Rattus norvegicus: one gene and its partners. The protein of the gene in region 1 purifies or fractionates together with the protein of each later gene. This does not show direct contact. Links are inferred from orthologs where the notes say so. Each region holds a gene or a part of one and is shown in the gene's direction. Other genes may lie near its edges. The genes, in order: Hif1a, Hsp90ab1, Septin9, Lamp2, Sumo1, Ubc and Stub1.

What was found.
Region 2: the proteins of Hif1a (region 1) and Hsp90ab1 purify together in Homo sapiens (affinity purification with western blotting; 3 studies listed by BioGRID). This does not show direct contact. The link is inferred for Rattus norvegicus from reciprocal best matches to the Homo sapiens genes HIF1A and HSP90AB1.
Region 3: the proteins of Hif1a (region 1) and Septin9 purify together in Homo sapiens (affinity purification with western blotting; 4 studies listed by BioGRID and IntAct, with this or other methods). This does not show direct contact. The link is inferred for Rattus norvegicus from reciprocal best matches to the Homo sapiens genes HIF1A and SEPTIN9.
Region 4: the proteins of Hif1a (region 1) and Lamp2 purify together in Homo sapiens (affinity purification with western blotting; 3 studies listed by BioGRID). This does not show direct contact. The link is inferred for Rattus norvegicus from reciprocal best matches to the Homo sapiens genes HIF1A and LAMP2.
Region 5: the proteins of Hif1a (region 1) and Sumo1 purify together in Homo sapiens (co-immunoprecipitation; 3 studies listed by BioGRID and IntAct, with this or other methods). This does not show direct contact. The link is inferred for Rattus norvegicus from reciprocal best matches to the Homo sapiens genes HIF1A and SUMO1.
Region 6: the proteins of Hif1a (region 1) and Ubc purify together in Homo sapiens (affinity purification with western blotting; 11 studies listed by BioGRID). This does not show direct contact. The link is inferred for Rattus norvegicus from reciprocal best matches to the Homo sapiens genes HIF1A and UBC.
Region 7: the proteins of Hif1a (region 1) and Stub1 purify together in Homo sapiens (affinity purification with western blotting; 3 studies listed by BioGRID, with this or other methods). This does not show direct contact. The link is inferred for Rattus norvegicus from reciprocal best matches to the Homo sapiens genes HIF1A and STUB1.

The regions. Positions count from the first base shown.
Region 1 is NC_086024.1:98,387,095-98,391,111, forward strand, and holds part of Hif1a (hypoxia-inducible factor 1-alpha), read left to right. Parts: exon of another isoform or gene 1-840; coding exon 841-953; exon of another isoform or gene 954-2,157; coding exon 2,158-2,360; exon of another isoform or gene 2,361-4,017.
Region 2 is NC_086027.1:22,933,061-22,936,450, forward strand, and holds the end of Hsp90ab1 (heat shock protein HSP 90-beta), read left to right. Parts: coding exon 1-244; intron 245-526; coding exon 527-692; intron 693-831; coding exon 832-1,022; intron 1,023-1,116; coding exon 1,117-1,264; intron 1,265-1,367; coding exon 1,368-1,636; intron 1,637-2,061; coding exon 2,062-2,395; coding exon of another isoform or gene 2,396-2,507; coding exon 2,508-2,617; 3' UTR 2,618-2,735; downstream 2,736-3,390. UniProt on the Homo sapiens protein: Molecular chaperone that promotes the maturation, structural maintenance and proper regulation of specific target proteins involved for instance in cell cycle control and signal transduction. Undergoes a functional cycle linked to its ATPase activity.
Region 3 is NC_086028.1:102,974,749-102,979,368, forward strand, and holds the start of Septin9 (septin-9), read left to right. Parts: upstream 1-1,547; 5' UTR 1,548-1,805; coding exon 1,806-1,860; intron 1,861-4,620.
Region 4 is NC_086039.1:122,043,274-122,046,812, reverse strand, and holds the end of Lamp2 (lysosome-associated membrane glycoprotein 2 precursor), read left to right. Parts: intron 1-2,140; coding exon 2,141-2,280; 3' UTR 2,281-2,683; downstream 2,684-3,539. UniProt on the Homo sapiens protein: Lysosomal membrane glycoprotein which plays an important role in lysosome biogenesis, lysosomal pH regulation and autophagy.
Region 5 is NC_086027.1:68,599,633-68,604,225, reverse strand, and holds the start of Sumo1 (small ubiquitin-related modifier 1), read left to right. Parts: upstream 1-1,422; 5' UTR 1,423-1,463; coding exon 1,464-1,475; intron 1,476-4,593. UniProt on the Homo sapiens protein: Ubiquitin-like protein that can be covalently attached to proteins as a monomer or a lysine-linked polymer.
Region 6 is NC_086030.1:36,899,012-36,903,299, forward strand, and holds the start of Ubc (polyubiquitin-C), read left to right. Parts: upstream 1-1,488; 5' UTR 1,489-1,555; exon of another isoform or gene 1,556-2,118; intron 2,119-3,288; 5' UTR 3,289-3,291; coding exon 3,292-4,288.
Region 7 is NC_086028.1:15,354,477-15,359,021, reverse strand, and holds Stub1 (E3 ubiquitin-protein ligase CHIP), read left to right. Parts: upstream 1-1,462; 5' UTR 1,463-1,565; coding exon 1,566-1,727; intron 1,728-2,148; coding exon 2,149-2,347; intron 2,348-2,430; coding exon 2,431-2,596; intron 2,597-2,629; exon of another isoform or gene 2,630-2,761; coding exon 2,762-2,849; exon of another isoform or gene 2,850-3,032; coding exon 3,033-3,089; exon of another isoform or gene 3,090-3,175; coding exon 3,176-3,292; exon of another isoform or gene 3,293-3,370; coding exon 3,371-3,496; 3' UTR 3,497-3,744; downstream 3,745-4,545. Other genes in the region: Jmjd8 (jmjC domain-containing protein 8), read right to left, coding at 3,789-3,869, 3,948-4,082, 4,162-4,229, 4,308-4,427, 4,516-4,545. UniProt on the Homo sapiens protein: E3 ubiquitin-protein ligase which targets misfolded chaperone substrates towards proteasomal degradation.

The DNA.
Region 1 (4,017 bases):
GATTTTTCTCTGCTTTATTTCTGTGACTTTTTCTTTTTGTGGTTCTGGGGATCAAACCTAGACCCACATGTATGTACTAAGGAAGTACTTGTCCATTAAACTACATTCCCAGCCCCTAATTTTGTAATCTTAAATCGTAAACAAGGTCTCATGTAGCTCAAGTTGGCCTAGAATTTTCCATCCTCCTCCTTCAGCCTCCCTAGTGCTGAGAGTGCTGACATGGACCATTATGGCTGATTTCTGTAACTTCTGATAGAATTTTGCCTGGTTTTCATACACACATATGCTATTCACTTACAAAAGGTAAGCTGGCATTTTTAAAGTTCTATAAACACATTGCTGCTTATTCAAAATTGAGTTATCACAATTGGTAAAAGACATTGAAGTATTTATTCAGGTTCTTTCTAGGGGGACATCCTTATATACCGACAGCACACTTAACAGGGTAAATTTATACCATTTTTTAATTTTCATTACTTGGACCGAACTCACCAGCACAGATGAGTAAATTAATCATGTAAAGTGTGGGCTCCTCCCACAGTTCAGGGAATCACTGCAGTCTTTAACTGCTCTCACTGGATGGAGCTGTCAGACCCACCATGTGTGGGAGTGGGTGAAGAGGGAGCAAATCCTTGTGTTAATGCTGAGGTCCTCACTTTGCTGCTCTCATTTTAACAGATTTCTATGTTTAGCTAGGACTTAAAACTTTGTTTCTTGGGGTTGGGGATTTAGCTCAGTGGTAGAGCACTTGCCTAGCAAGCGCAAGGCCCTGGGTTTGTTCCCCAGCTCCAAAAAAAAAAAAAAGAAAAAGAAAAAAACTTTGTTTCTTGCTTTCATTAGGCCCAGTGAGAAAGGGGAAAGAACAAAACACGCAGCGAAGCTTTTTTCTCAGAATGAAATGTACCCTAACAAGCCGGGGGAGGACGATGAACATCAAGTCAGCAACGTGGAAGGTAAGTAAACTGAGTATGGCTTGATTTATAGATAAATAAACCTATACACTTACATGCTAGTATCAAGAGCTTTCACCAGGAGTGCTGAAAGTTAGCTGGCCCTCGCACTTGGGAAGCAGAAAAACAGCTGCTACAAATTTGAAGGCAGCCTTATCTACACAGCAAGTTCCAGGCCAGCCAGGGGAACACAGCGAGCCCCACTCAGAAAGCAAAACAAATAAACATAACCCCTCCAAATGAGTTGCTTAGAGTTATGAGGGGAATGGAGAAAGGGCTTAGTAATTAAGAGCACTTGTTTGCCAAGCACCTGGCCTTGGTCCCAAGAACCTGTGTCAGCTCATAGTCATCTCTAACTCCAATTCCAGAACATGTAGTATCCTCTTCTGACCTCTTCAGGCACCAGGTACACACACAGCGTGCACACATACATACAGATAGAAGTTGTGAAGGAAAAGGTATAATTGTTCCCTTTTGCATGTTTGCATTTATATCTAGTATATGTAATCTCCATTCAAAATAGTATAATAATTTGCTGATTTGAGATATAAACATAGATTATTGGAAATACGGTATTTCTATACCAAGCTAACTTATTAGTTGGCTTTACCAACTAGTATTTAAATTCTAATATTCAGTTTCATTTTCTTGTTCAGTGTTGAACCATAGTTACCAGAGCAAAATCAACTGAAATGACCAGATTAGTGAAGAAGGAAAGATAGCCTAGACTTAATACAAAGATACCTCTTTTTAAAAACAACATGTGTGTGTATGTATGTTTGTCTGTGTGTATTTTAGTGTTTTAATTGGATATATGTAAGTGTATGTGTTTGCAGAGGCCAAAAGAGGGCATTAGATCCATATTCTGGATTATAAGTGATCCCTAGTTTCTATTTTATGTGCATGGATGTTTTGCCTCCATGTATATATCAGTGCATGCATGCCTGGTGCCTTAAGAGATGAGAAGAAGGTGTCGGATCCTCTGGAAATAGGATGCTTGTAAGCTGCCATGCGAGTGCTAGGAATCAAATCTTGGTCCTCTGGAAAAACAGTCAGCATTCAAACCTCTGGCTCATCTAGCATCCTACCTCACAGTGCCTTCTTAAGAATACCTCATTATCTCTTAATGTTTAACTGCTATGCCATCTCTGCAGCTTTCCTCTCCTCTTCATTTTAAAAAGGTAACTGCTTATTTTCTTACTCACAGGTGCTGCACTGCACAGGCCACATTCATGTGTATGATACCAGCAGTAACCAGCCGCAGTGTGGCTACAAGAAACCGCCTATGACGTGCTTGGTGCTGATTTGTGAACCCATTCCTCATCCATCAAACATTGAAATTCCTTTAGACAGCAAGACATTTCTCAGTCGACACAGCCTCGATATGAAATTTTCTTACTGTGATGAAAGGTAAATTAACTATTTTATATTTTTAAAATTTAGATTTAATTTTTTTTACCTCACTGTAGTAAAAACTTAATTGATGTGTTCATAAAGCTTAATATTGAAGATGCATACTAGAATCCAAAAATGTAAGATTAGCTTTTTTACTATAAATACTATACTTAGCTATTATACAAAATCCATTAAGATGAATTCTTGACCACATCTGGTGGTATACTTCTGTAATGTCGCTATGGGGAGACTGAGACAGGAGGAAGGTAATTTCCAAGTCAGCTGTCTCAAAAGAGCATTTTAAAGGCTAGGGATGTAAGTCAGGTGGACCACTTGTCCAATGTGCAAAAGGCACTGACTTCTTGCCTTGGTACTGTGCAAACAGTGAACACAAAAACCAGGAAGTTCTTTTGTTTTAGGGAATTTTGCTTAAATTGAGAAAGTAACTTTTAAAGATACACAGTTTCTGTAGAGTAGGCAACAACAGTTGGCCTTTAGCCTACATGCTCTCCTTGAGCACCTTCCATTCCACCCGTTAGTTACCATTTCCCAAGTCTGTTACTACTTATGTAATTGCCAGCTTAATGTTTCCGTCCACATCCTTTTCTAAGTAATGGAATGAATACTTCTGCTACTAAACTACTCTCCTGCTCCCAGACAGCGTAAGTTGCTGCTCCTCTGGTGATTCCTAATGTTGTTGACATAGCATTGTTGAAACCTGACTAAGTGCAGTTTGTGGTAAATATTATAAATGCACTGTTTGACTGTCTCTCCCATTGTATCTACCTTGTGCTCCTTCTTTATTTCATTACTTTTGGCCTGAATTGTTACCATAAACTCTTTTTTTTTTTTTTTTTTTTTGGTTCTTTTTTTCGGAGCTGGGGACCGAACCCAGGGCCTTGCGCTTCCTAGGTAAGCGCTCTACCACTGAGCTAAATCCCCAGCCCCAACCATAAACTCTTAAGCTGCATTTCTGCCAACAGATTTGTGCCTTTTTACCTGTATATCCTTTGTATCTAAAGGCTTCCCAAGGTGAGGATCAGATCATGCCATTCTCTTATTAGAAATGCATCCGTTGCTTCTTGTAGTATTATAGGTGGAAGGAGATTTTTTATTTATCAAAAGATAGTATATTCTGGGTGTGGTATTGTATGTCTGTGATCTTAACACTTGGGAAGATAAGACAAGAAAGCTGACCTGGACTATATATGAACGCCTGCCTGTCATGTGCAGTTAAATCTTAATGTATTAAAATGTCGAGGAAAGGTATTTACTGTCTAGTCTCTTCTCAGTTCACCAAATTAATCAGGAGGTAGGAGAATCACCCATCTGGATATGGTCCCAAACACTCCTAACCAAGAGTTCCATGTTCGTTTTGAATGTCTTGTGCCTTTGCATACACTCACTCTTAAGAGGATGCCTAAGAGCATCTTCTTAGGCAGTATTCCTTGTACATGCTAATGTCGTAGTGTGTATTCTGCTGCTGTCTTGTTGGTTCTTTTTTGCTGCAAGCTGTATAGCCTGTTAGTTATAGACAGAGATTGTGTAGCCAACTGAAGTTCTGACCCTGCTCCCTAGAGAACAGTGAACACATACATCAGTCCTCTCACAGATCACTTCTCTGTTTGTTTAGTTGGTTAGCTGCTTAGGGTGTTTTGTTTTGTTTTGTTTT
Region 2 (3,390 bases), on another chromosome or scaffold:
GGAGGAAGATAAGGAGGATGAGGAGAAGCCTAAGATTGAGGATGTGGGATCTGATGAGGAGGATGACAGCGGCAAAGATAAGAAAAAGAAAACAAAGAAGATCAAGGAGAAGTACATTGACCAGGAAGAGCTGAATAAGACGAAGCCCATCTGGACCAGAAATCCTGATGACATCACTCAAGAGGAATATGGTGAATTCTACAAGAGCCTCACCAATGACTGGGAAGACCACTTGGCAGTCAAGGTGAGGAGCCTTACATGTTGTGTAAGGAGGGGTACATAGAATGCTGGAGGTGGTAAGGGACAACTTGCTTAACTGGTTGGTACCAAGCTGAGAGCCACAGAACCACGTGACTAAGTATACTGGGAGCTGATTGGCACGGGTGCTCCTTGCTACTAGCATTCTGGGCTTACTTGGTGTTGGCTGTTAGGAATGTGGCACTGACAGTGAGTGTTCGGTGCCAAAAGTTTAATACTGGGGCTTGAAGCAGTTCTGTCCTAAAATGTACTACTGGGTTTATTTCAGCACTTCTCTGTAGAAGGGCAGTTGGAATTCAGGGCATTGCTCTTCATTCCCCGGCGAGCTCCCTTTGACCTCTTTGAGAACAAGAAGAAGAAGAACAACATCAAATTGTATGTCCGTCGTGTGTTCATCATGGACAGCTGTGATGAGCTGATACCTGAGTACCTCAGTGAGTATTTGCTGGGTTTAAGATGTGCAATACAGGCAAACCTATATTAGACCTTCAGAATACAGCTGAGATACTGATCCAGAGTCCTTGGACTAACTCTGATCCAGCTGTTCCCTGTGCTCTGTCTGGTTCAATGTAGACTTCATCCGTGGTGTGGTTGATTCCGAGGACCTGCCTCTGAACATCTCCCGAGAAATGCTCCAGCAGAGCAAGATCCTGAAAGTCATCCGCAAAAACATTGTGAAGAAGTGCCTTGAGCTCTTCTCTGAGTTGGCTGAAGACAAAGAGAACTACAAGAAATTTTATGAGGCATTCTCTAAGAATTTAAAGGTAAGATGAACAAGTGCTCTCTCCATTACTTTGTATTTAGGCTGGTGTTTTTCCCAGCTCATAGTTGAACTTTCTGTTGCCCTACCCTTTAAAGCTTGGAATCCATGAGGATTCCACTAACCGTCGCCGCCTCTCTGAGCTCCTTCGCTACCATACCTCTCAGTCTGGAGATGAGATGACTTCCCTGTCAGAGTATGTGTCTCGCATGAAGGAGACACAGAAGTCCATCTACTATATCACTGGTATGTTGGAGCTTGGTTCTGATCAAAGCTGTCTTGTGGAATTGGGGAGGGGAAGTGGAGGCGTGAAGGCCTTTTGGCCATCGAGTCCTGTTTAATCCCATAGGTGAGAGCAAAGAGCAGGTGGCCAACTCTGCCTTCGTGGAGCGTGTGCGGAAACGGGGCTTTGAGGTGGTATACATGACTGAGCCCATTGATGAGTACTGCGTACAGCAGCTCAAGGAGTTCGATGGCAAGAGCCTGGTCTCCGTGACCAAGGAGGGCCTGGAGCTACCAGAGGATGAGGAAGAGAAGAAAAAAATGGAGGAGAGCAAGGCAAAGTTTGAGAATCTCTGCAAGCTCATGAAGGAGATCTTGGACAAGAAGGTTGAAAAAGTGAGTCTTCCCTTGGATTTAGTCTGCTGCTATTACAGCATAGACCAGGCACTAGCAGTATTCAGGGATATTTAATACTGTTTAACTCCTAACAGTTATTCCACCTAATGTATGCATGCAAGAAAAGACCTTACTGTTGCCCAGGTTATCCTTGAATCTCTGCAGTACTCAAGCTACCTTCAGCCTCTACAGCATGTAGGGGTAGGGGGTTAGTCATCTGCTATTCTTTTTTTTTTATTATTTTTGTTCTTTTTTTCGGAGCTGAGGACCGAACCCAGGGCCTTGCACTTCCTAGGCAAGCGCTCTACCACTGAGCTAAATCCCCAACCCCGTCATCTGCTATTCTTGACAAAAAAACCCAAGGTACTTTTTCCATAGCAGTTCCATGATGGCCAACAATTGTCATTGTCCTTGATTGTCCACAGGTGACTATCTCCAATAGGCTTGTGTCTTCCCCCTGCTGCATTGTGACCAGCACCTACGGCTGGACAGCCAACATGGAACGGATTATGAAGGCCCAGGCACTGCGGGACAACTCGACAATGGGCTACATGATGGCCAAGAAACACCTAGAGATCAACCCTGACCACCCCATTGTGGAGACTCTGCGGCAGAAGGCTGAGGCAGACAAAAACGACAAAGCTGTCAAAGACCTGGTGGTGCTGCTGTTTGAGACTGCTCTGCTCTCCTCTGGCTTCTCACTTGAGGACCCCCAAACCCACTCCAACCGCATCTACCGCATGATTAAACTAGGCCTGGGTGAGTCAAGTCAGCCTTGTGAGCAAGCACCTTGTGACAAATTGTTGAACTGGCTGGATCCTTGGACAGACTTAATGCTTTGTGGCTTAGATCTCATGTTTTTCTTTCTCAGGCATTGATGAAGATGAGGTCACTGCAGAAGAGCCCAGTGCTGCTGTTCCCGATGAGATCCCCCCACTGGAGGGTGATGAGGATGCCTCTCGCATGGAAGAAGTGGATTAAAGGCTCCTGGGAAGCCCCCGCCCTCTGTATAGTATCCCTGTGGCTCCCCCAACAGCCTTGACTGGCCCTGACCCACCTGGCTCTCTGCTCATGTCTACAAGAATCTCTTCTATCCTGTCCTTGTGCCTTAAGGCAGGAAGATCCCCTCCCACAGAATAGCAGGGTTGGGTGTTGTGTATTGTGTTTTTTTGTTTGTTTTATTTTGTTCTGAAATTAAAAGTATGCAAAATAAAGATGATGCAGTTTTATACAGTCCTGCTCTCCTTGTAAAGTAACACTCAGGACTCTGGGCTCCCTGAGTTGGAAGATGATGAGAGGCACTTGTGCTTCTGAACTCAGAACCAAAACACAGGTCCAAAAATCACTGCTGCAGTTTAATCAAATAGAGCAAAAGGTGACATTTCCAAGTAACCAAAACTTGCTCAAGGAACACTGGGGGCCCCAACTGGGCTGGGGGGAGTCCTTTGTCCCTTCTGGCACAGCACCATTCTCACTAGCCCCTAGGGGTAACTGCATGGCCTGTAAACAATTTACTTCCCAGCTGGTGCCTGGCAGCCTCAAGGGGTGGGTGTTAGAAGGGGATGAGCCTGCTGCTGGTTTGCCTGGCCACCAGCTAAGTCAAGATCTCAGGTAGCGGGGAGGAACGCTGCATTACCCACAGCTGTCACTTGGTGAAGTGGGGCTCTTAAGGCAAGGCAAAGAGGCTGCCTCCAGGACTCCAACCCTCTGCTGTGTGCTGAGACACTGAGAAATAATTTGCCCTTGAGCCAGTG
Region 3 (4,620 bases), on another chromosome or scaffold:
TGTCTCTGTGTTCCAGGTGCCTTTTATAAAACACACCAGTGAGCAACGCCCACTCAGGTTGGATGCTGTCCCAGGGACCCGGCATCTTCCCAGGGCTTTGTGGTAAGGGCCTCAGCTTACATTGCACCCTGAAATCCCCTGACGTGGGACAGCAGGTGACCTGGTGATGGTCAGACTGCCAGGCAGGCTGAGACCCTGACAGAAGCCACGTGGGGTACCCACTGCTCCTGGAAGTAAGGCTTCTAGAGAGATGGGATGCGGGTGCATCCGATCTAGAATGGTGGTGGTTTTACAGTTCCTATGTCCAGAGGCTCGCTTGGTTGGAAATAGTTTTTAAACCATCTGAGGCATGAGAGGAGGGGCACATTTTCTAATAGGAAGGACTCTATTCCAGAGGCTTAAAAAAAAAAAAAAGTCTCACCAAAACCTAGCCCGGGCTCCTCCTCTCCTTCTCTGCAGCCTCACCGACCTCTGCAGGTCTCAGCACAGCTTCCTCCCTCAATTACCACACTGAGAATGCTGGAGTAGGGAGAGAGCAGACCCAGACCCAGGACAGCTCAGGGACGCACCACTGAGGACCAAAGGATGAGTTACCCACTCTGCAGGACCCTGTCCCTGGCTATGAATCCATGCAGCCCTGACTGAACAGAGACCCTGGGTCTAAGGTAGTGCCCAGCGGGCAGGAGTCTTGTTGGCTCATCCAGGAAGTGGTGAACCTCTCCCCAAGACACCCTTCCCCCGTCACCCCCTCCCCTCAGCACGTCCCGCATCCCTGGGGACCCTTCCTGGTAACTAGTGTTTTTTGTTTCTAGCCAGTGTTTTTATCTGCTTGCCCAGTAGATGTCTGAAGTGTGAAGGCTACTTGGGCAGAGAGAGGCCAGGCTGTGGGTACCCACTGATGTGGAAAGGACCCAGGAGCAGCCTTCTTCCTTCCTTCTGATGTTAGGGACTGTGGTTTCTCTCTTCTGGAGAGAAGGTCGTGGTCCACTCTCTGTACTCAGGAAGCCCATACAGTGGAAGGGGGGAGGGGCGTTGCAATGATTCTTCTGAAGGGCCGCCTCTCCCTGCCCTATCCCTTCCGTAGCACCTACCCAGAGGGTGCCGCAGCGACCCCCGGAGTGCAAGGGTAGCAGTCCTCAACGTATGAATGCTAAGGAACTCCTGGGACCCTCGTCTTTGTAGTCAACCGTCTAGGGTCCTCCGGACTAGCCTAGCGCTTCAGCTTAACCCTTGCAGGCCCTGTTCTCTTACGCGAAGGAGGCGCTCACGAACTTTGGCTGCGTAAATAAAACCTCCGGCAGCAAGAGCACTGCGCCCAGGGAAGGGGAGGAATCTTGTCCCCCTCAGCGCCCGCCCGCTGCTGTGGCCCGGCCTCCACATCCTCTACATCCGCCCACATCTGGCCACGGAGGGGCGTGAGGGGGAGGGGCCGAGGCCGTGTCTGTCGCGGTCCCCTGGGCACCCGCCAGGAAGGGAGAAGGGGGGCCAGCCTAGGTCGTGTGCCTGGGACTCTGCAGTCCCTGTAGAAGCAGCTCTGGTTCCAACCCCTCCAGGCCCAGTTTTGACAGGCGGGCGCAACAGCCAGTGCCGAGTCGCGGAGGCCGGCTGGGGTGCGGGAACCTGATCCAGCCGGGAGGCGGGGGCGGGGCGGGGGCCCGGGTGCTTGGGGAGGGGCCGGCGCCCGCCTTCCTCCCCCATTCATTCAGCCGACCGTGGGGGCCGAGGGGCTCGTGCGGCCAGCTCGGCACCGGGAGCGGGAGCGCGCAGGGCCCGGTCTCCGCGGGACTCCCTGCGCACCAGCCACCATGTCCGACCCCGCGGTCAACGCACAGCTGGACGGGATCATTTCAGACTTTGAAGGTGGGTGCCCGACCCAGGGGTTGCTTGGCGAGCTGGGCAGGAGCCTCCAGGCGGGCCTGAGACGGGACGGGGTGAACACAGGAGAGGCAAGACCCCGGATTGCTCACCCTAGGGCTCTGCGTCCCAGACGTTGCCTACTTGCAGAGCCCCATTAAGGGGTCCTGTAGATGATAGACCATATAGTTAGGGACCACGCACCCCCCGGGGATCCCAGGTTCACGCTGCCTGTGGGGCGTTCATCTTTTTATTTTTGTTTGTGTTTGCCCTGCGACTGTCGCTCCTCGAGGGCGGGCTTGACTTCTTGGGAGCAACCCGGGGGAGCACAGTTCCACCCTGGAAACCAGTGGGTTTTCTTCTTCTGGTGCTCGTCCTCAGCTCTCACCAGCGTGGGAGTTAGTTCCCCTCTTCAGATCCAGTGGGAGGCCGAATCCTCAGGGTGGACCTCCTCCCCTCCCCCACGCCATCTCCGGGGTTGGGGCTGAGCCCAGTCCCGGGGCTGGCAAGGGCTGCCAAGTTGATCGGCCGGCAGGCCCCATGCATCCGAGGGGATCCCAGCCCGGCGAGTCTCAGGGTCCAGGGTGGGATGTCCAACACCCCGATCCAGGCCTGGGACATCGTTATCTATCTGAGAGAGAAGAGCCTTTTGGGAGAGAGGGGGCCTGTGTGCTCACGCAAGGACAGTACTTTCGCCTCTTGTCCTGAGTTTACAAAGTGCAGAGATACTTGGGGGCCGTTTCCTCCAAGGGTGGGCCTGCCATCTCCTCCCTGGGCTTGCATGCGCGGACTTTCCAGAGGCCTCGTGACTGCCACTGCCGGTGCCGTGGCCCCTAGTCCTGCGTCCTCGTCCGGAGTAAATAAAGCCAGTGGAAAGGGAGGCTTACACAATGGTGTCCCGCGCGCGTCTGGGGCTGGGTTTCCGAGGGGCGGGCCTGACTCTGCCGGGCCCAGAGCCCCCGCCCCTTTGAGGGGCTCTCAGGCAGCCTTAGGCAGAGCCCTCTGGTGGGCTGTGAGGGAGGGAAGAAGGGCCCCACAGAGTTAAAGACGGCCAGGTTTCAAGCCAGCCCTAGCCCTACAAGTGACCAGTTGGGGGTGCTCCAGGCCCCATGACTGGAAACAGGGATTTTGTCCTGAGCCCACCTGAGATCAACTTTATCTTTGAGTTAGGGGACTAGCTGTGTGTCAGGGTGTGTGTGCACAGCGACGGGGGTGGGAGTGAGTTGGGGGGAAATGGGTGCTGATGCCGATCCGTTGTGTATTGACAGATATAGGCGGTGAGTAGCCTGGAATATCATACCAACTTGGTCACCTCAGTGGTGGGAGCAATTTTTAGATTCTAGCACTTTCTGTGCCGATACAAAGCAGAGAGTTGCTGCTTGGGAGTCCTTGTGCTGCCATCCACCAGGACTTTTTGGAGTCCATGTTTATTCTGGGGTCCCCCAGACCTGTTTTGTGCTTTTGTGCCTTCTGAATGCCCCGGTGACTGTCCCAGCTCCTTGGGTTGCCCCTCTCTGCACCTCTTCTTTGCCCCGGGGGCCTTTCATTCTCCTGGAAGTGTAATCTGAAAGTCAGCCAGTCAGTTCCCTTCTCTGCAAGGTCTGACCCATATGGAGGTGGAGGGCCCGGGGAGTGGGGGTGAGGGTGTGGGGGGGTGGGCAGCACACTGCCTTTTCCAGGTCTCTGTGTTTACTCTCTGCTCCGGACCTAGGGGCATTCAGGTGTCTGCTTTCATCCCTTGAGGAGTTGGGGATGGGGTTTCTGGGGAATGCTGCCCAGGTCTTGTCGGGGAGGGAGAAGTTTAGGGGTTGTGAGGGTCTAGCCAGCTGGTTCCTTGCATTGTGGAGGCCAGCTGCCCCTGCCTCCTTAGTTTCTCTGTGCAACTCCTTACTCACTGTGTCGTGCCCTCACTGGGCTGCCTCCCAAGCCAGCTTCTTGACCCTCAAATTTAGTCCAAGACAATGGCCTCATTGAGAGCATCCTGGTATAGAGGTTGGCAGTTTTAGGGATGCTGGGCCTCCTGAGCATGCTGCCCTCCTGTGCCAGTCTTCCTGCTGTGCTCTGAAAAGTTCAGTTGGGGAATGGGGTCAGGTCTTTGAGTGCCCAGAGATTACAGCCTGGGCTGTCACTAATGGAAGTGTGTGTGTGTGTGTGTGTGTGTGTGTGTGTGTGTGTGTGTGCGCGCACGCTCATGGTGGCACTTATGCAAGGGAAGCTATATACATTGGATGAACAACCTGAAAAGTGACATCTAAGTGTCCTAGGAATACGGAGTTGAGTTGGTGCGCAGAGAGGGTGCACACGTCGGGGTTGGACTGCTGAATGGAGAAAGGGATGTGGAGAGACTATGACCCAGCCCATGGGAGAGAAGCTTGCAGTCTGAATCCAGGCGGGAAAAGTCTCCAGAGACTAGCAGGGAGAAGTTGGGAATGGGGAAACAAGACCTCGAGGCAAAGGAGAAAACTGGTTGTGACAGGGAAAGAGGAGAGTCTTCTGACCAGACTGCCACGGGCAGTGAGCAGCGAAGATCTCAGGGTGAGACTGCTAGGAAGTTGAGCCATGAAGGGGCCAGTTTATAGTGAGTGCTCCTGGGGTGGGGGGGGTCGAGTCACAGGAGGTAGGTGTTCCCCAATGCCAGCATGGCCAGACTCAGCTGGAGAAGCATCCAGTCTTTGCTCAGGCTTCCTACAGGGTGTGTGTGGCTATGCCAGTTGAAAAGAACCAGGTTGGTTACAACCGCTGGGGCCCATAGTCCCTTTGTGAGGC
Region 4 (3,539 bases), on another chromosome or scaffold:
CCTAGTCTTCTATCTGCGATTCTGGAATGTGCCCTCATTGAATTCCGGTTACTGTTGGTTTTTCCAGTGCGATAAGGTAGAACCACCGAACAGTGTACTTTTGTGAGCTGGTCTTAAATACACTTTTTCTGGCTTCCATCCATTGTTCTATGTCACCTTCCTTGGCATTGCTCCTGGAGTTTTTATGTTTTCTTACTGTCCACGTTTTTGTCTGCACTGTTTTTGGTTTGCTTATATTTGTTATTACTGTTTTGTTTTGTTTTGTTTTTCTCTACAGGGTTTCTCTGGATAGCCCTGACTGTCCTGGAACTCACTCTGTAGATCAGGCTGGCCTCAAACTCAGAGATCCACCTGCCTCTACCTCCTGAGTGTTAGGATTAAAAGTGTGCACACCCCCCCCCCACTGGCTCTCTGCACTGTTTCTTACACCTGCAGTGCCCTCCCATTATCTACATAGTCAATTACAATTAATGGTTAGTTCTTTGTCTTAAAAACTCACATCAAATGCTGCCTTTCCAAAGTGTCTTACTTAACTAAACTGAGTTGACGAGGTCCCTGAAATATTTCCATGATACTTTGGGTATTGCTTGTCCCACCATAGCACATCTTGAATTTCTAACTACTGATTTCTGTGTTTGACTCTCACACTAGTGATCTAAGTGATCATACTGTGTTTTATTATAGCATTCCATACATACATAGATTGCATTATATGCTGTTCTCATTTCTTCTTCCCCAGTACCTTCCTGTCCTTCCTGTTCCTCTCTTGCTGAGTCTTCTTGACAAATAGCCTCTCCTGCTTCCATGGCATCGATAAGCCTTTACCTATAGACCACACATCTTACCATTTCCTTCCTCTTTAGAAGCTTTTTCACCCCTCATGTGTTCTCCTTTCCTTTCTATTTACACACACATTTAAATCTGCATATCAAAAGTAATATTTTACTGAGTCTGGCTTATTTTGGTTAAGATAATGATCTTCAGTTGCAGTTTTTCCAGCAAATGACACAATTGCACTTTTTTTAATGGCTGCATAAAATTCATATATATATGTATATGTATATATATATATATATTCATCCAGTTTCCTTATCTATTTACTTGTTGGACATCTGAGTTAGGTCTTAATACATCTTGTGACTAGTGCTGTAGTAAATATGAATGTACAAGAATCTCTGACTTTGATTTCCTTTATTGGATACCTACTCAGGAGTGGGATAGCTACCTTATATGGTAATCCTGTTATTAAGGTTTTTGTTTTGTTTTTATATACTAAATTATATTCTCTGGATACATAAGCAGTAGTGAAATTCCTTGATCACTATGTATATGTGGCATTTCTCTTTTTAATTTTTAAATTGTTTCTTTGAAAATTTGATATACTTATATATTGTCTTCTCATCAGAACTCTCCTGCAACTTTGTATTTCCCTCCTATTTCTATCAACGTGCTCCCTTCCTGACTTGTCCCTTTTCCAGATCCCTCCCTCCCTCCCTTCTCTCTCTCTCCCCCCCCCTCTCTCTCTCTCTCTTTCTTTCTTTCGAAACTTGATACTGATTTCCATGTTTGCTAAACCAAACATTCCTACCAGTAGTGATAAATACTACTTTTTTCCTCGACTACATACACGTGATGAAGCCAGCAGTTAATGCCAACAGGGCCAGATTATCTTTCCTTATTATTAAGTGAGCTCAATAATAGGATTATGCATTGAGCTCTGTATCTGCTTTATACAGCTGTTTATTTGCTGAGTTAGTGCTCTCTAACATTCAGGATCCAATGTGATAGTTGGCTCTTAAAGTTCTAGGCTGATCAAGGGCAAACAAATTTCTAGAAGAAGCCTGGGAGTGTGTGATCACTATATGTATTTCCCCCCAATGACTGCTTTTTTATGAAGGGGAACTGCATGAAATTACTGGGTTTTTTGTTGTTTTGGGGGTGTTTTTGTTGTTGATTTAAAAAAAAACTTTTGAGGGTCAACTCATTAGATATCATATGTCACTACTGATAATGAATGCCAATGACTTGTTATTTTGATGTAAAATTCTGTATATGAGGGAAGGGCTGTCAGTTTAACTTAAAATTGAGACATATGAAATGCCATTGTGTCTGTTCTCAATTGTCCTTTCTCCACATCCAGCTCAAGACTGCAGTGCAGATGAAGACAACTTCCTTGTGCCCATAGCGGTGGGAGCAGCCCTGGGAGGAGTACTTATTCTAGTGTTGCTGGCTTATTTTATTGGTCTCAAGCGCCATCATACTGGATATGAGCAATTTTAGCACCTACAATCTGATTGAATATATTACAAAATACATACAAATAACAAAGTTGTCTTACCTGTCAGTTTATGAAACACTTTGCTACTTAAGACAGACTCCTTGGAACTTTTATTTGGAAATCAGTCCCCACAATTTGAGATAAGGCTTTTTTTGAAAAAAAAAACAAAAAACAACAAAAAAACAAAAAACAAAAAAATCATTCTCTGATCTGCTTAAAATGCAGACTGGCTTTAAAAAAAGGAGAAAATGAATACACGTGTGTGATGTTTTAAGGTCTGTCTTAAGAAGCTTTGGCCAAATTGGGATCCTAACCTAAATGCCTTAAACTTATTAACATGACCGTTATAAGAAAAGATATATGGAGTTGTATCTTACTGGAATTAATAAACACTGCTTCACCACCGGTGTTCTGTTTCAATTTGTAACAGCTGTCCTAATTTAAACTCACCACTACTGTGCCTTTGCATATACTTAAGATACCTATCAGATATGCCAGACTTGCTTTTTAGGGGGGTGAAATAGACCCCTTAGGGCCATCCACATTTTTTAAAAAATAAGATCTTAAGAGGAACCAGAGGGCTTTTATTTGTTTGTTTGTTTGTTTTTGAAACAGGGATTCTCTGTGTGGCCCTTGTTGTCCTGGAAGTCACTCTGTAGACCAGGTTGGCCTTGGACTTGGCAGAGATCCACCTGCCTCTGTCTCCCAAATGCTAAAATTAAGGCATGTACTGTCACTGCCCAGCTAAGTATTACATTTTTGAAAAGATTATGACTTGATGCCTTTTGAGTTCAAGTTAAATATGAAATTGATTCTCAAACTTGTGATTTTTCATAGGTTAAAAACAGGCTCAGGAGGCTATAACAGAGCTTGGACTGACTTCTTAATTAGAAGGGGTTTTTTTAGGGAGGGGGTGGTGGTGGTTGGTGATGTGAAAGAGTCTTTCTGTAGCTCTGGCTGATCTGGTAGTTACTATGTAGTCCAGGCTGCCTTCAAGCTCAGATCCAACTGCTTTGGCTGGCCAAATGCTAAGGTCACAGGCATTTGACCATTCCCATCCTGGGGTTTTAAGAAAAATGTTTCTTTTTCAGCAATATAGACTGAAAGGATTCAAACAGTTAACCACTTGCCTCGCTCTCTTTCTCTTTGGATGCCTGGTTAGCACTGAAGGATAGCGGATTCTATGAACTAATTAGGACAGATTGTGTTGTGTTTCTCTACCTCATCTTGTTGATCTCTGGAGCATTAAAATCTATTTAGT
Region 5 (4,593 bases), on another chromosome or scaffold:
TTTTAATTTTGTATGTGCAATGAAATAGGAATTCAAATTCCTTCTTTTGATGTGAATGTTCATATTTTCATTAGTAATTGTTAATAATTTTTTAATTTTTATGAGTGTTTCTGTCCGAATGTGTGTCTATGAACCACATTTAGGCCTGGTGCAGTGCTGAAAAACATATCAGATTCTCTGGGACTAGAGTTATAGGCATTTTTGAATGCATATACGGGTGCTGGGAATCAAACCTGAGTCCTCTGGAAGAGTAGCCAATGCTCTTTGATTGCTGGGCCACTTATAATCGGCTCATTACTAATTACAGAAAAGATTATTTTATTAATGTCTTGTACTGTGAAGGTTTTTGACTTACTTTAGTTTTCATTTTTCCCCCCTTTACTTAGTATAACCTTAATCTTCCCTGAATGTTTGTGCAAGAGGGTCACTGTATTCAAAGGAAGATGTTTAGGTCTATGATGTAAGGCAACTAGTTTATGAGCTGGAGGGAGCTCTTGCAACTTCAACTTTCAATAGCATTTTGGTCATCTATAGCCACCAAGACTTTGTTCTAGAGCTGGAGATGTGGTGGCCCAGGTCTTTAATCTCAGCACTGGGGAGGCAGAGGCAAGAGGAGGCCAGTCTGGTTGACTTAGCAATGTTCTATAATAGCCAGAGCTACTTAGTGAGACCCTGCCTCAAAACACAAAACAAAACCAAAGATGTGACCGGAAGGGTTGTTTCTTCATGCCCCACCCCTAGACTCCCACAGGGTTCTTCCATGTAGCCTTGGCTGTCCCGGAACTCACTTTGTAGACCAAGATGGCCTCAAACTCACAGAGATCTGCTTGCCTCTATCACTCGGAGTACGCCACCATAACTCAGCTCGTTGTGGTTAACTTCATTCACTCTGACATGCTAGTGGCTTCCAAATCGCTTTCACTTTCTCTCTTGTAGAAAATGAAAACTTGTTACTATTGTATTTCTAGTAATCAAAGTCATGAATGTGGCAGCAGCAAGCAAGAGGGGGCCATAAAGATATTATACAGGGAATTCACTATATTCAGGAAGAGTTGGTTCCGGCCTCAGAAGCGTACAAGATGTCCAACAGGGAGGAGCCTAAGCGGTCAGTTTGACCCCAAACACACACAGCCTGCAGGCAAAGCGCTGGTCTCCCTAAGGCCTGAGGCAGCGGGCCGGTTTTCCCGGCCCCGCTGAAGACCTAGCGGTTCTCTTGCTCCAGGAAAGTAGCTTAACCTTGACGATTTCATCTCCCGCATTCCCTAAGGCGTTTTCCCGCTTCCCTTTCCCGTCTTCCCAAACTCTCCTCTGCGCGCTGCGGAAGTGACGCAAGACGTAGCGGAAGTCCCTGCAGCCGCGGTGTTGTGCTGTGGAGAAGAGACGGATTTGTAAACCTCAGAGTGCGGTTCTGCCTGCCGGAGGCCGCTGTGGTGCGGAGACCCCCGGGTGAATCCACCGACACCATGTCTGACCAGGTACCGGGCCACGGCCTTGGGGCTCAGGGCCGTCGGCTGCTGGCTGAGCCCCTGGAATGGGGCGCGGGGGGAGGGGGTGATGTTGGGGGAGGGGGCTGCCGGTGGGGAGGGGGCCGCGAGGGACGCCGAGCGCCTGGCAGAGTCGGGCCGAGCCGCCTGGGATCGAGGGTCTCCGGGTTTTACGCACCCTCCGCGGCCCTTTCGGAGGCCTCTACCCCCACGCCATCCAGCGCCGGGTCTCTTTCGACTGCTCCCAGGTTTCTCTCGGGCTCGCTGGGGGCCCAGGCCCGCTCCCTTGTCCGTGAGAGCAACCTGGGGGAAAACGACCGTTTCCCTTTCAGAGGACCGATGGCAGAAACAAGGCCCTAGGCCCAGTTATGTAACGGGAGAGAATCCCTGCCTGGGAGGCTAGGTGGCCCTGAAAAGCAGCTCGATTCTACTTTGGGTTCTTGGTCCCGGAGAGTGGGGGGCGGGCAGGGATCCTTGTTTGGGGTGACTGGGAACCCAGGAGACGCTGCTTTTCAGTTGTGTTTGCCTGGAGGGTCAGTCCGTCTTTGCCCACTTCAGAGTCATTTTTCCATCCGGGGGTGCGGAGCGGTCGACTCTTTCTCTGTACTTTCCATTTCTTACTCGGGATTGGTCCATCAACTCTCCAGTTGTAGGAGCGCTCAGAATAACCGAGAAACAACAAACTGCGTAGAGTGCCACCACCAACATGCCATCCATACGGTTTTTGTCTGGCTTTCCTTTTGTTTGGTCAGATGACTTAATTTTCAGAGTATTTTTTTTTTTTTTAATTTTTACTTCTTTAGTTACAATTCAGCAAACTTTTTTCATTCTACTTTACATTGTAGTTGAGCTTTTTTAAAATTTTTTTTGTTGGTTTTTTTTTTTTTTTTTTTTTTGAGACGTTGGTTTTCTGTGTAGCCTGGTTGTCCTGGAACTCCCTCTGTAGACGAGGCTGGCCTCCAGTTTATAGAGATCCGCCTGTCTGTTTCCTGAGGATGAAAGGCTTGCAACCACCCCAGACTGGCCATAGTGGTTCTATTTTTATAGCCTATCTACACTGTAAATTAGTTGTGGGATGGATTTACTTATTAATAATCTGGATTATTAATCTTTTGGGCTAGAAATGACTTTATGAAGCCCATAATTTGTTTATGACAGTTGTTTACTTAGTTACCAGAGAGGAGAGATCAGCTGTGTAAACGCTTATGCTTCATCAGACTTCTATTTTTAAAGCATGTTAGCCAGATGAGAGGGCAACATACAGAAAGAGTTTTAAGTTTTAGGATTAGTTTTGCTCTAGTTTGAACTTACATTATGTGAGGATATGAAGAAAGAAAAGAGGACCCTAGGACACAAGGTTTCAGGGAGTCTGCAAAGTCACTCTATGCTTGCTTAGGACTCTCTCACCTCACTTGGGGTCTTTGGGTGCTGGACCTAGGGCCTCCCACATGTGCTTGCCAGGCAGGCACTAAACCCTCATTTCTCCTTTTACTTCATTTCATTAAGTTGTCTAGGTTGGACTGTAACACACTTGTCTTTGAACTTGGACTCCCTCAGCCTTGCAGAGTAGCTGGGATTACAGAGTTATGCTGCCACACTTGGTGTGTGTGTGTGTGTGTGTGTGTGTGTGTGTGTTTCTCATTCTATCATGGATGTTCAATGAAAATTTTAGAAACATGACAAAAAAGTAGAACAAATCTTTTTTTTTGAGGCAGGGTCTTAACTATGTAGCTTTTCCTGGCCTGGAACTCAGTTTCTCCTGTGTCTGTTTCCTGAGTGCTGGGATTAAAGATGTCTACCACCACAGTTGGCAAAACAAGTCTTTTTTTTTAAATTGAGCTACACATTAAAGCAATTTGCATAGGAAATAGTGCTGCTACTCTTAAAATTTTTGTCTTTAAAAAAAGTAATAAAAATGTATCTAACATTTTAGGGGTTTATTTAGTTCAAGTCAAGGGTTTCTCTGTGTAGCCTTAGTTGTCCTGGAACTTGCTATGTAGATCAGATTGGCCTCAGATTTTCCTTGCCTTGCCTCTGCCTCCCAGAGTGTATACCACCACGACAGCTGGGTTGATAGGTTTTTAAATCATTGAGAGTGTGATAATGGATTTGGGAGCTGTTGCTTTAGGCTGATGGATAACATTAATCTTAGTTCCCAGAACAAGTTCAGTATTGAGTGTTAAAGATTTGGAGAAAACGGTTAAGTGAATCCTTGCCTGTAAGAGGTTTATAAGTGAGAGTAGGAATCCCCAAGTACTGTGTGTAATAGCAACAGCCTGAGACTGAGCTGTCTTCAGAAGGTGGCCTTAGAGGGTACTTTTTCAAGTTGGGGGGTTCGATAATGTGCTTGACTTGAATACAAGATGCCCTCCAGTACCCATGCACATTTTATTTTCTGAGGCAACTCTTAGAAGCTTGTATCTTGTGCTTAAAATAGTCACATTGAGTAATAGTTTCAGCTTTTCTCTTTGTTTTGAGATGCTCTCACTGTGTATCTAGGCTGGCAGTGATCCTTCTGTTTTTACTTTCCTGAGTCCTGGGATTACAGGTGTATGTGTATGCCACTGTGTCTTGCCATAATTTCAGTTTAAAATGAGTGGATCTTTATATCTAAAATAGATCACAATCTAATGCCTAAACCTTGAGAATTCACTGAATTATGCAGTTTTTTTAAAAAGAAGGTACTATAGGTCCCATCATTGGTACATGATTTCCCAAAGAATGAGGATCATTCTATAACCATTAATAGAAATTTGTTTAGCCTAATTTCACATTTCTTTAAAACCAGAAGCATATCAAAATGATAAGATTAATTTGAACCATTATTTCCCGTTCCTTATAGTTTAGTGAAAACTGTTTTCCTTTTTATACTAAATCATCAAAAGCAACTTGTACCTTTAGTATAATAAAAACAAAACAAAATCCACCCAGTTGGGAATACCACTTCTAGAACCTGGCTGTGGAAGTAGGTCCTATATTAATCAAATCCCAAAGGTTATCCCAGATTCAGGGAAAAGACATAGCTTATTTCTCAATAGTAGTTAAAAAGTTAAACTTGAAGTTATCTTTAGTCTTTCATGACTTGTATTTCTGCTTGCTGTGATATCAT
Region 6 (4,288 bases), on another chromosome or scaffold:
GATCATTACGAGTTAAGAGTCCAGCCTGATTGATCTATGTCATGAGTCCCAAGGTAGCCAGGGCTACTACATATGGAGACCCTGTCTCAAAAAAAAATCTCAAAAAAGAAAAAGGTTGAGATTAAAGGCATTTAATAGTGTGTGTGTCTGTGTGTGTGCATGCTACATGTATGTGAGTGCCCCTAGGGACATTGGACCTCCTTGAAGCCTTGAGAAGCTTTGGAGTCAAAGGCCTTTGTAAGCTAGCTGCCTGACAGGGTTGCTCAGTATTGAACTCTGGAAGAAGACCTGCTCTTACTGCTGAGCCATCTCTCTACCCTAGGGATTCAATTCTTACCTTCTAAGGTCTCAGGCCTTACATTTCAAAAACCTGAATAGGCTGAATTTTACAAGTGGGGTATATGTTTGCTGTAATCTGAACATTGTACTAAACGTGTACTTTTTGTGTGTGTGTGTGGGTTTTTGTTTGGTTTTGGTTTTTTTCAAGACGAGGTTTCACTGTGTAGCCCTGTAGACCAGCACTTAGAGGCAGAGGCAGAAGGATCTCTGTAAACTTGAGACCAGCCCGGTCTACGAAGCCTATTCCAGGACAGCCAGGGCTATACAGAGAAACCCTGTCTGAACAACAAAAATTAAAAAAATAGGATTTCGATGGGTTCAGTCTCAGAATATGAACAACATTTTGATATTTTGACCTTTCCTTAGTGACAATCGAACAGAAAACAGAACCTTCTCGAATCCAAGGACACCAGACATAAACAGACTTAGGAAGAATCTGGAAAGATCTAGTGCCCACTGGGCTTCAGATCTAATGCCAACAGTTTTCAAGAACTGTGAGGACTGACTGCTTTTCTTGACGAATTCAGATTCGTTTTCCCAAACTGGGGAGAGATCCCCCCCCCCCCCATTTTTTTTATAAAAAATAAAAAAAACCGTTGTCATTTCCCTTGTTATGAGATTTGCACAGTCATCCATCCTGTCACCGTGCCAAAACAAAGAGGGCTGGGCACAGTGACGACCGACTCGAGGTGAGGGAACTTAGGAGCCGAGGCCACCAATGGAATATCAGTGTAACAAGAGCCAAAGCCCTAGGTCCCCCTAACAGAAAGAGGCGACTGGGACCCTTGACGGAGGGGGTGGGGGGTAGTTGGTGGGTCTCCGGCTCGCTTAGCCACAGTGCGCCTGCGCCGAGGTCCGCTCCGGCTGCAGTGATCCCTGCCGGGTTTTAGCGCCGATCACGTCACAGGCGCTGATCCCTCCGCGGGGTCGCGCAAGGTCGCAGTCCTGCCCCTCCACACAAAGCCCCTCACTCTCTGGCCTTCGCAGTGGAACAACCCCATGAAGCGATCTTAATGGTTTTAGCCTGTCGCTTCCATTGCAGAGATTGGACCGGGCATTAAAAAGTAGTCCCCAACCGCATTTCCGCGGAGGAATCCAGGGGTGGGCGGGGCTCCCGATGACTATATAAAGAGACGCCTCGCGTCCCGCAGCTAGTTCCGTGGAGACCGCCAGTTCCGTCTCTACTCTTTTGTGAGGACTGCAGCCAACACCGCTGGTGAGGAGAAAGCCGCCACACCCGGCGGGGGCGGGGAGGCGGGAGGGGGCGAGAGACAGCCCGCGGCCCGGACGTTTGGTTTCCGTGGCCCGCGAGGACGGCTGCTGTCCTGAGGCCGAGGACCGGGCGGCAAGATGGCGGCCAAATGGAAGCCTGAGGGGGAAGACGCGCGGTCCTGACGCGCTGGACCAGGTTGGGGGAAGCAGGCCCGCGAGGCCGCTTGCCGCCGGTTAAGCCGGGAACGTCAGAGGCTTGGGTTGGGAACTGAATTCGGTTGGCGCGCTGTAGGAGCCTCTGATGTGAGAACTGTGGGTATTAGACGGGAGGGAGATGTCGGTTATCCGGAATTCGTCGGTTGCTAAATACAGGAGTGCGATTGGGAAGGGAGGGGGAGGGTGGCGGTCCAGCCTAGCCTATCGCCCCTGTGACGTCGCGGTTTGTGTGGTCTCACAGTGTATAGTGACGATGGCTTTAGCTTTCCCTCAGTTGTAGGACCGGGTTTGGGTCTCGGCCTCGGGTAGCCTCTCCAGAGTAAACAGGAACCGGAAATTCAGAGGGGGAACGTGAGCCTGACTTACATTGAGTCTTTCCTTGTCTCGCTACACGGATATGGCTGCGGAAACTATTTATTAGACAAGGGTGTTTTTTTTTTTAAGATTTATTTCTTCAGGGGTTGGGGATTTAGCTCAGTGGTAGAGCGCTTGCCTAGGAAGCGCAAGGCCCTGGGTTCGGTCCCCAGCTCCGGAAAAAAAGAACCAAAAAAAAAAAAGATTTATTTCTTCAGACACACCAGAAGAGGTGTGATCAGATCTCATTACAAATGGTTGTTAGCCACCATATGGTTGCCGGGAATTGAACTCGGGACCTCTGGAAGAGCAGTCAGTGCTATTAATCACTGAGTCATCTTACCAGCCTGACAAGGGTTTTAAACTTTAAAAAAATCTCTGCCTCTACCACCCATGTGATGAGGTCCAAGGCCAGTGCCACTTACCCCAGACTACTTTTTTTTTTAATAGAGTTTATTCAGGGCATGGGAAGGGGAGTTGAGGAGGGAGTAAAGCTGGTCGGAACATGTGGAGAGAGAGCAGGGAGGAGAATGGGGAGAGAAGGGACAGATGGGGTGAAAGTAAGAGGTTAAGAGGATAAGAGTAAGAGTAAACTACTGTTTAATTGTTCAGACAAAAGCTTGGGGGAAGGAGAGTTGAGGCAGGATCTCACTGTCTCAGGCTGACCTCCCAATTCACGAAATCTGCCCACCTCAGTGTCCCCAGTGCTGGGAGGAAAGATATGAACATAGTTCAGTTTTGTAGTAGTAACTGGCTCTATCTACCAGTCGGGACCTGAATCCGGGATTTCCAACTATTGCCTTCTAAGCTCTTGAGTTTCTGACTTCTTTGGAGTGGGTCCTCCTAAACCCCCCTCCCCCAAGGTGAAATGTGGGTCAGGCTTTTCTCCAAACTGCAAATAGTCAGGGACTGACTTTCAGCAGTTCCGTACTGAACGCTCCACCCTGCCAACTTGGTAATAGACAATGCCTAATATTCATAACTTTGTTCCATCAAGACTTTTATTTTCTTGTTGGTTTTAGGGGGTAAAATTCAAAACAGTCTGTGTAGCTATTTAGACTAAACTACTAGCCACCTCACAGATCCAACGGTTGGTGGCACTCTAAAGAATTTGTGTCATTCCTGACCTGTTTTTTGGTTTTTTGTTTTTTGTTTTTTTTTCCATAGACAATGCAGATCTTTGTGAAAACCTTAACTGGTAAGACCATCACCCTGGAGGTCGAGCCCAGTGACACCATTGAAAATGTCAAGGCAAAGATCCAGGACAAGGAGGGCATCCCCCCTGACCAGCAGAGGCTGATCTTTGCAGGCAAGCAGCTGGAAGATGGCCGCACCCTGTCAGACTACAACATCCAGAAGGAGTCCACCTTGCACCTGGTCCTTCGCCTCAGAGGGGGCATGCAGATCTTTGTGAAGACCCTGACAGGCAAGACCATCACCCTGGAGGTCGAGCCCAGTGACACCATTGAAAATGTCAAGGCAAAGATCCAGGACAAGGAGGGCATCCCCCCTGACCAGCAGAGGCTGATCTTTGCAGGCAAGCAGCTGGAAGATGGCCGCACCCTGTCAGACTACAACATCCAGAAGGAGTCCACCCTGCACCTGGTCCTTCGCCTCAGAGGGGGCATGCAGATCTTTGTGAAGACCCTGACAGGCAAGACCATCACCCTGGAGGTCGAGCCCAGTGACACCATTGAAAATGTCAAGGCAAAGATCCAGGACAAGGAGGGCATCCCCCCTGACCAGCAGAGGCTGATCTTTGCAGGCAAGCAGCTGGAAGATGGCCGCACCCTGTCAGATTACAACATCCAGAAGGAGTCCACCCTGCACCTGGTCCTTCGCCTCAGAGGGGGCATGCAGATCTTTGTGAAGACCCTGACAGGCAAGACCATCACCCTGGAGGTCGAGCCCAGTGACACCATTGAAAATGTCAAGGCAAAGATCCAGGACAAGGAGGGCATCCCCCCTGACCAGCAGAGGCTGATCTTTGCAGGCAAGCAGCTGGAAGATGGCCGCACCCTGTCAGACTACAACATCCAGAAGGAGTCCACCTTGCACCTGGTCCTTCGCCTCAGAGGGGGCATGCAGATCTTTGTGAAGACCCTGACAGGCAAGACCATCACCCTGGAGGTCGAGCCCAGTGACACCATTGAAAATGTCAAGGCAA
Region 7 (4,545 bases), on another chromosome or scaffold:
CTGTCCTGGGGCTCTGCAGGCTTGTCTGCCCCCTCACCCAGGCTGTATGAGACGCCCCCCCTCCAGGGTCTGTGCTTCCTCTCTCTCCCCTGAAGCTCTGCACCTGCATGAGGTGGTGGCTTCACTCCTGGCCAGGGACGGAATCCACAGGAGGTGGGGCCCCTGGGAAGAGACTGTGGACTTCCGGGTCAGTCCAAGTTCAGCAGTCGTTTATTGTGCTCCAAGAGCTTCCAATCCCGGTTCTTGCAGCCTCCCTTCCAAAGGCAAGCCCGAGACAGAGCCAGGTTCACTTGGCCTGGGTCCTGTAATTCTTGGCAGGTCTATAGTCCTTATGGGAGAACCAGTTGGGGTGAAGTTCAGGCAGCAGGTCTGGGCATACATCTGCCCATAGTCCAAGTTTGCAGTGCTCTCTTCACAAGATGAAGCGTCTACAGACAGCTCTAAGGCACTAGAGATCTACAAGAGTTCTGGGGTCGAGTTACTAACCATCGGAACCATGATGGGGTCCTGGGTGACCCCTCAGGCCCCTGCTCAGAAATGCAGTGAGCTCTTGCACCTGGGCTAGAAACAGCAAGTAGTACTTGAGTGTATGCTGCAGCGTTAGCAAGCCAGGAACTGTAGCCACTGCAAAGAGTGACAAGGAGGTTCTGGGGACATTTTTTTTTTGAGTTCCTAGAGCCCCCACCCAACTTGTGCAAAGATGCTCCCTACTCACTCGAGGCAGTGGCAGAAACCACGCAGCGAAGTTTGACTGCGGCGCACAGATCGGCAGAAAGCCGAGTTTTGCTTCTCCAAGTCCCGGGTGGGGGATGTTAGCGGCCAACAGCTGATGCAGCAGCGGCTAAAAATGCCTCATCTACAGACCTGGGGTCAAAGGGTCTTGGTGCAGGCTCTCTCCACGGAAACCTGCTGGCACCGCCCTTGAAGAAGCTCCGCCCCATGACCGCAGAAGGGGAGCGTCCAGCCGCGGACCCGCAGCTACCTCTATAGCAACCGCAGCAGGTCCTTTCGAGTCAACGCGTCACGTGCTTGTTTCTCAGCCAGTAATGGCCGCAGGCAGCTTCTCCCGATTCCCGAGGAAGCCTCTCGAGGGTGGTCTGACCTGCGGGCCTCTCTCCTTCCCTCAATTCCGCCGTCCTACCAGCGGTCTAGACGTTCCCAGGCTGCCGCATGAGCCCGCGTGCGCCCCGGTGGCGCGCTAGGACCTGGGCCTAGTGACCGGCCCTCGGAGCGCCACTTCTCCAGCACGGACCGCTGCCACGTTCGCGTGGCGTGGGCCGGAGGGTGGGGCTTGACTGCCAATGGGCGGAGCCTTGGTCTGAATATTGAGGGTAGGTCCTAGTTACTGTAGGGCGGGGCCGGTAGAGAGCGCAGCGGTAGCTTCTCCGGGCTAAGCGAACCCGCTCAATCCGCGAGGCTCCGCCTTTGCTCACGTGTCCCCATGCCAGCCCCGCCCCACACCGGAAGTTCCGGTGGCGGATCGCCGACCGGGCGGAGCTGATAGCTGCGCGGGCTGCGAGATCTAGGTGGCCGGGCGCGGAGCCCAAGCCGTGCCGCGCGGCGCCATGAAGGGCAAGGAGGAAAAGGAGGGCGGCGCGCGGCTGGGCACTGGTGGCGGCGGCAGCCCTGATAAGAGCCCGAGTGCGCAAGAGCTCAAGGAGCAGGGAAACCGGCTCTTCGTGGGCCGCAAGTACCCGGAGGCGGCGGCCTGCTACGGCCGCGCCATCGTGAGTGCGGGGGGCGGGGGCGGGGGCGGGGCCCGATGTGCCTCCCAGTTCTGTGATTCCCGGACGATTTCTGGCAGCCTAGACCCGGATTGCTGTTCCCGAATCCAGGGCAGATTGACTGGGGACTGGCGGGCGGGATGCTTGATTGAGGCAAGCTAAGGATGACACCAGAAATTCTTGCCCCTTGAGGCTCCCAAGCCTAAAGCTGGTGGAGGGGTTCTGGGATTTTTCTCAAAAACAGTTGGAGGCAAGAGAGCATGGCTAGAATCCAGAGCTCTGATAACTCGGAAATCTCCAGTTCCTCTCTTCCACCCATGGGCCCCCAATGCTGGAGAATTGTCCGGATCATTGGCTTTCAGCTTGCTATTAGAGAGGGGATCAGATGAGCCCACATTCTTTGTCACCTGATCTTGGTTCCCAGACCCGGAACCCACTTGTGGCAGTGTACTACACCAACCGGGCCCTGTGCTATCTGAAGATGCAGCAGCCTGAACAGGCACTTGCTGACTGCCGGAGAGCCCTGGAGCTGGATGGGCAGTCTGTGAAGGCGCACTTCTTCCTGGGGCAGTGCCAGCTAGAGATGGAGAGTTATGATGAGGCCATTGCCAATCTGCAGCGAGGTGGGCTGACAAGATGCCAGATTGTGGGCACCTTTGGGGCCAGGATTGTTGACAAGTGTAACCTAAAGTGTCCACTCCCCCAGCCTATAGTTTGGCCAAGGAGCAGCGACTCAACTTTGGGGATGATATTCCTAGTGCCCTTCGCATTGCTAAGAAGAAGCGCTGGAACAGTATCGAGGAACGGCGCATCCACCAGGAGAGTGAGCTGCACTCCTATCTCACCAGGCTCATTGCTGCTGAGCGAGAGAGGTGGGTCCCGCCCCCAACAGTTAACACCGAGTCAACAGTGCAAGTGTTTATTAAAGGACAGCAGCCGGTACATGGGAAGCCCGGGAGGAAAGAGGCCTGAGATGGGAAGGGATCTGTCATTTCCCTGTTGGGGCCATCACCAGCTGGCTTTTTCTTGACCCTCAGGGAACTGGAAGAGTGTCAGCGGAACCACGAGGGTGATGAGGATGATGGCCACATCAGGGCCCAGCAGGCCTGCATTGAGGCCAAGCACGTGAGGGTGCCCCTAGTCCACATGTGGGTCGTTGTGTGTGTGTTTTTGTGTGTGGCATGAGAAGTGCCCCAGCCTATGGTGGCTCTGTTGGCCCATGCATGACATGAGTGCCCCGGTGGACAGAGTGTGTGTGTCTGTGTGGAGGAGACAGGAGTTGCCCACACATGGCGCTCAACTCTGCAGGATAAATACATGGCGGACATGAATGAGCTCTTCTCTCAGGTGGATGAGAAAAGAAAGGTAAGGACGGAGCCTTGAAGCTCATGGGCAGGCTCTGGTATGGTGACTTCCTTTCCAGTTGCAGACATTTCCCTCTTGTGCTGCAGAAGCGAGATATCCCTGACTACTTGTGTGGCAAGATCAGCTTTGAGCTGATGCGGGAACCCTGCATTACACCCAGTGGCATCACCTATGACCGCAAGGACATTGAGGAGCACCTGCAGGTAAGGAGGGCCTGTGGTCTCGGGACTGGGATCAGGGGACACTCAGGCCATTGAATACTCTTGACTCTGTCGTTGCAGCGCGTGGGCCATTTCGATCCTGTGACCCGGAGCCCTCTGACCCAGGAACAGCTCATCCCCAACTTAGCCATGAAGGAAGTCATTGATGCTTTCATCTCTGAGAATGGCTGGGTAGAGGACTACTGATACCCCATGTCCTGCCTGGCACCCTGGCCCAGGAGGGTCTGGAGGCAGAAGCTCCAGTCCCTGTATATAGTTTGTGTCCCTGGGCCTGCCCCCATCGGTCCTGATGATGGGTTCTGAACTGCTCCCCTTCTCAGCATATCCCTTGCTGGGCCATGAGCCTCCCTTGTCTCCCTTCTGGGCTGGAGAGCTGGTGAGGGTGGGTTGCTGCTGCTGCTGCCACTGTCCTGTAATAAAGTCTGTGAGCACTACATTGGCATGTGCTGGTGCAGTGGGCTTGCCAGTCGCTTGTTGGCTAGCCAAGGAAAGTGGATATGAAGACACTGGTGTCCAGATTGAGTGTGGCATGCCACCACCGATCAGGAAAGTACAGCGCCTGGGAGAAGGGGCACGGAAAAATAGTCTGATTCCCTAGTTTTTGGGTTAGCCCAACCCCCACCTACCAGCTACTGACTTCACCAGCCTGGATGGTACATTCTAGAGGCCGAGCTGATGGGGCTAGAGATGGGTATATTTCCAGGAGCCAGGCCAACGTGGTCTTGTTAGGGTGGAACTCAGGTGTCTTCTCAGGAGGGTAGAGGAACCAGCGCTGGAGGCAGGAATGTTAAGGTCACTCTCATGTGCTATGGACTACAAACACCAAATTCATGCCCCACCCTTGCACTGACCTTCCGACCATAGATAACCTCTGAGAAACCAGGCCCATGCCAGTGGAAGGGTACCCCAGATCCAGCTCCTGTGGGGTCAGTTGTGAATAGCTGATGAACAAAATATATACGGGCTTCCCCCAAATCTGTTTGAAAGGAGCACCTACCTGCAATTCCAAAGCTATAAGCAGGGGTGGTTCCCAGTAGACGAAATGGAGGTGGACGGTAATGTTGGAAGAGTGGGGCCCACTCAGTAAAGTTGTTATCTCCGAAAAAGTACAGGGTGTCTGCCAGCAGAGAAGATGACAGGCAGGGGTACTGGCAACAGTGGGCTCCAAAGTGTCCCACTCCCACTGCTGCCTGGGTCTGGCTCACCATTGCCTAGAGATTCGGGGTCCTGGGGGT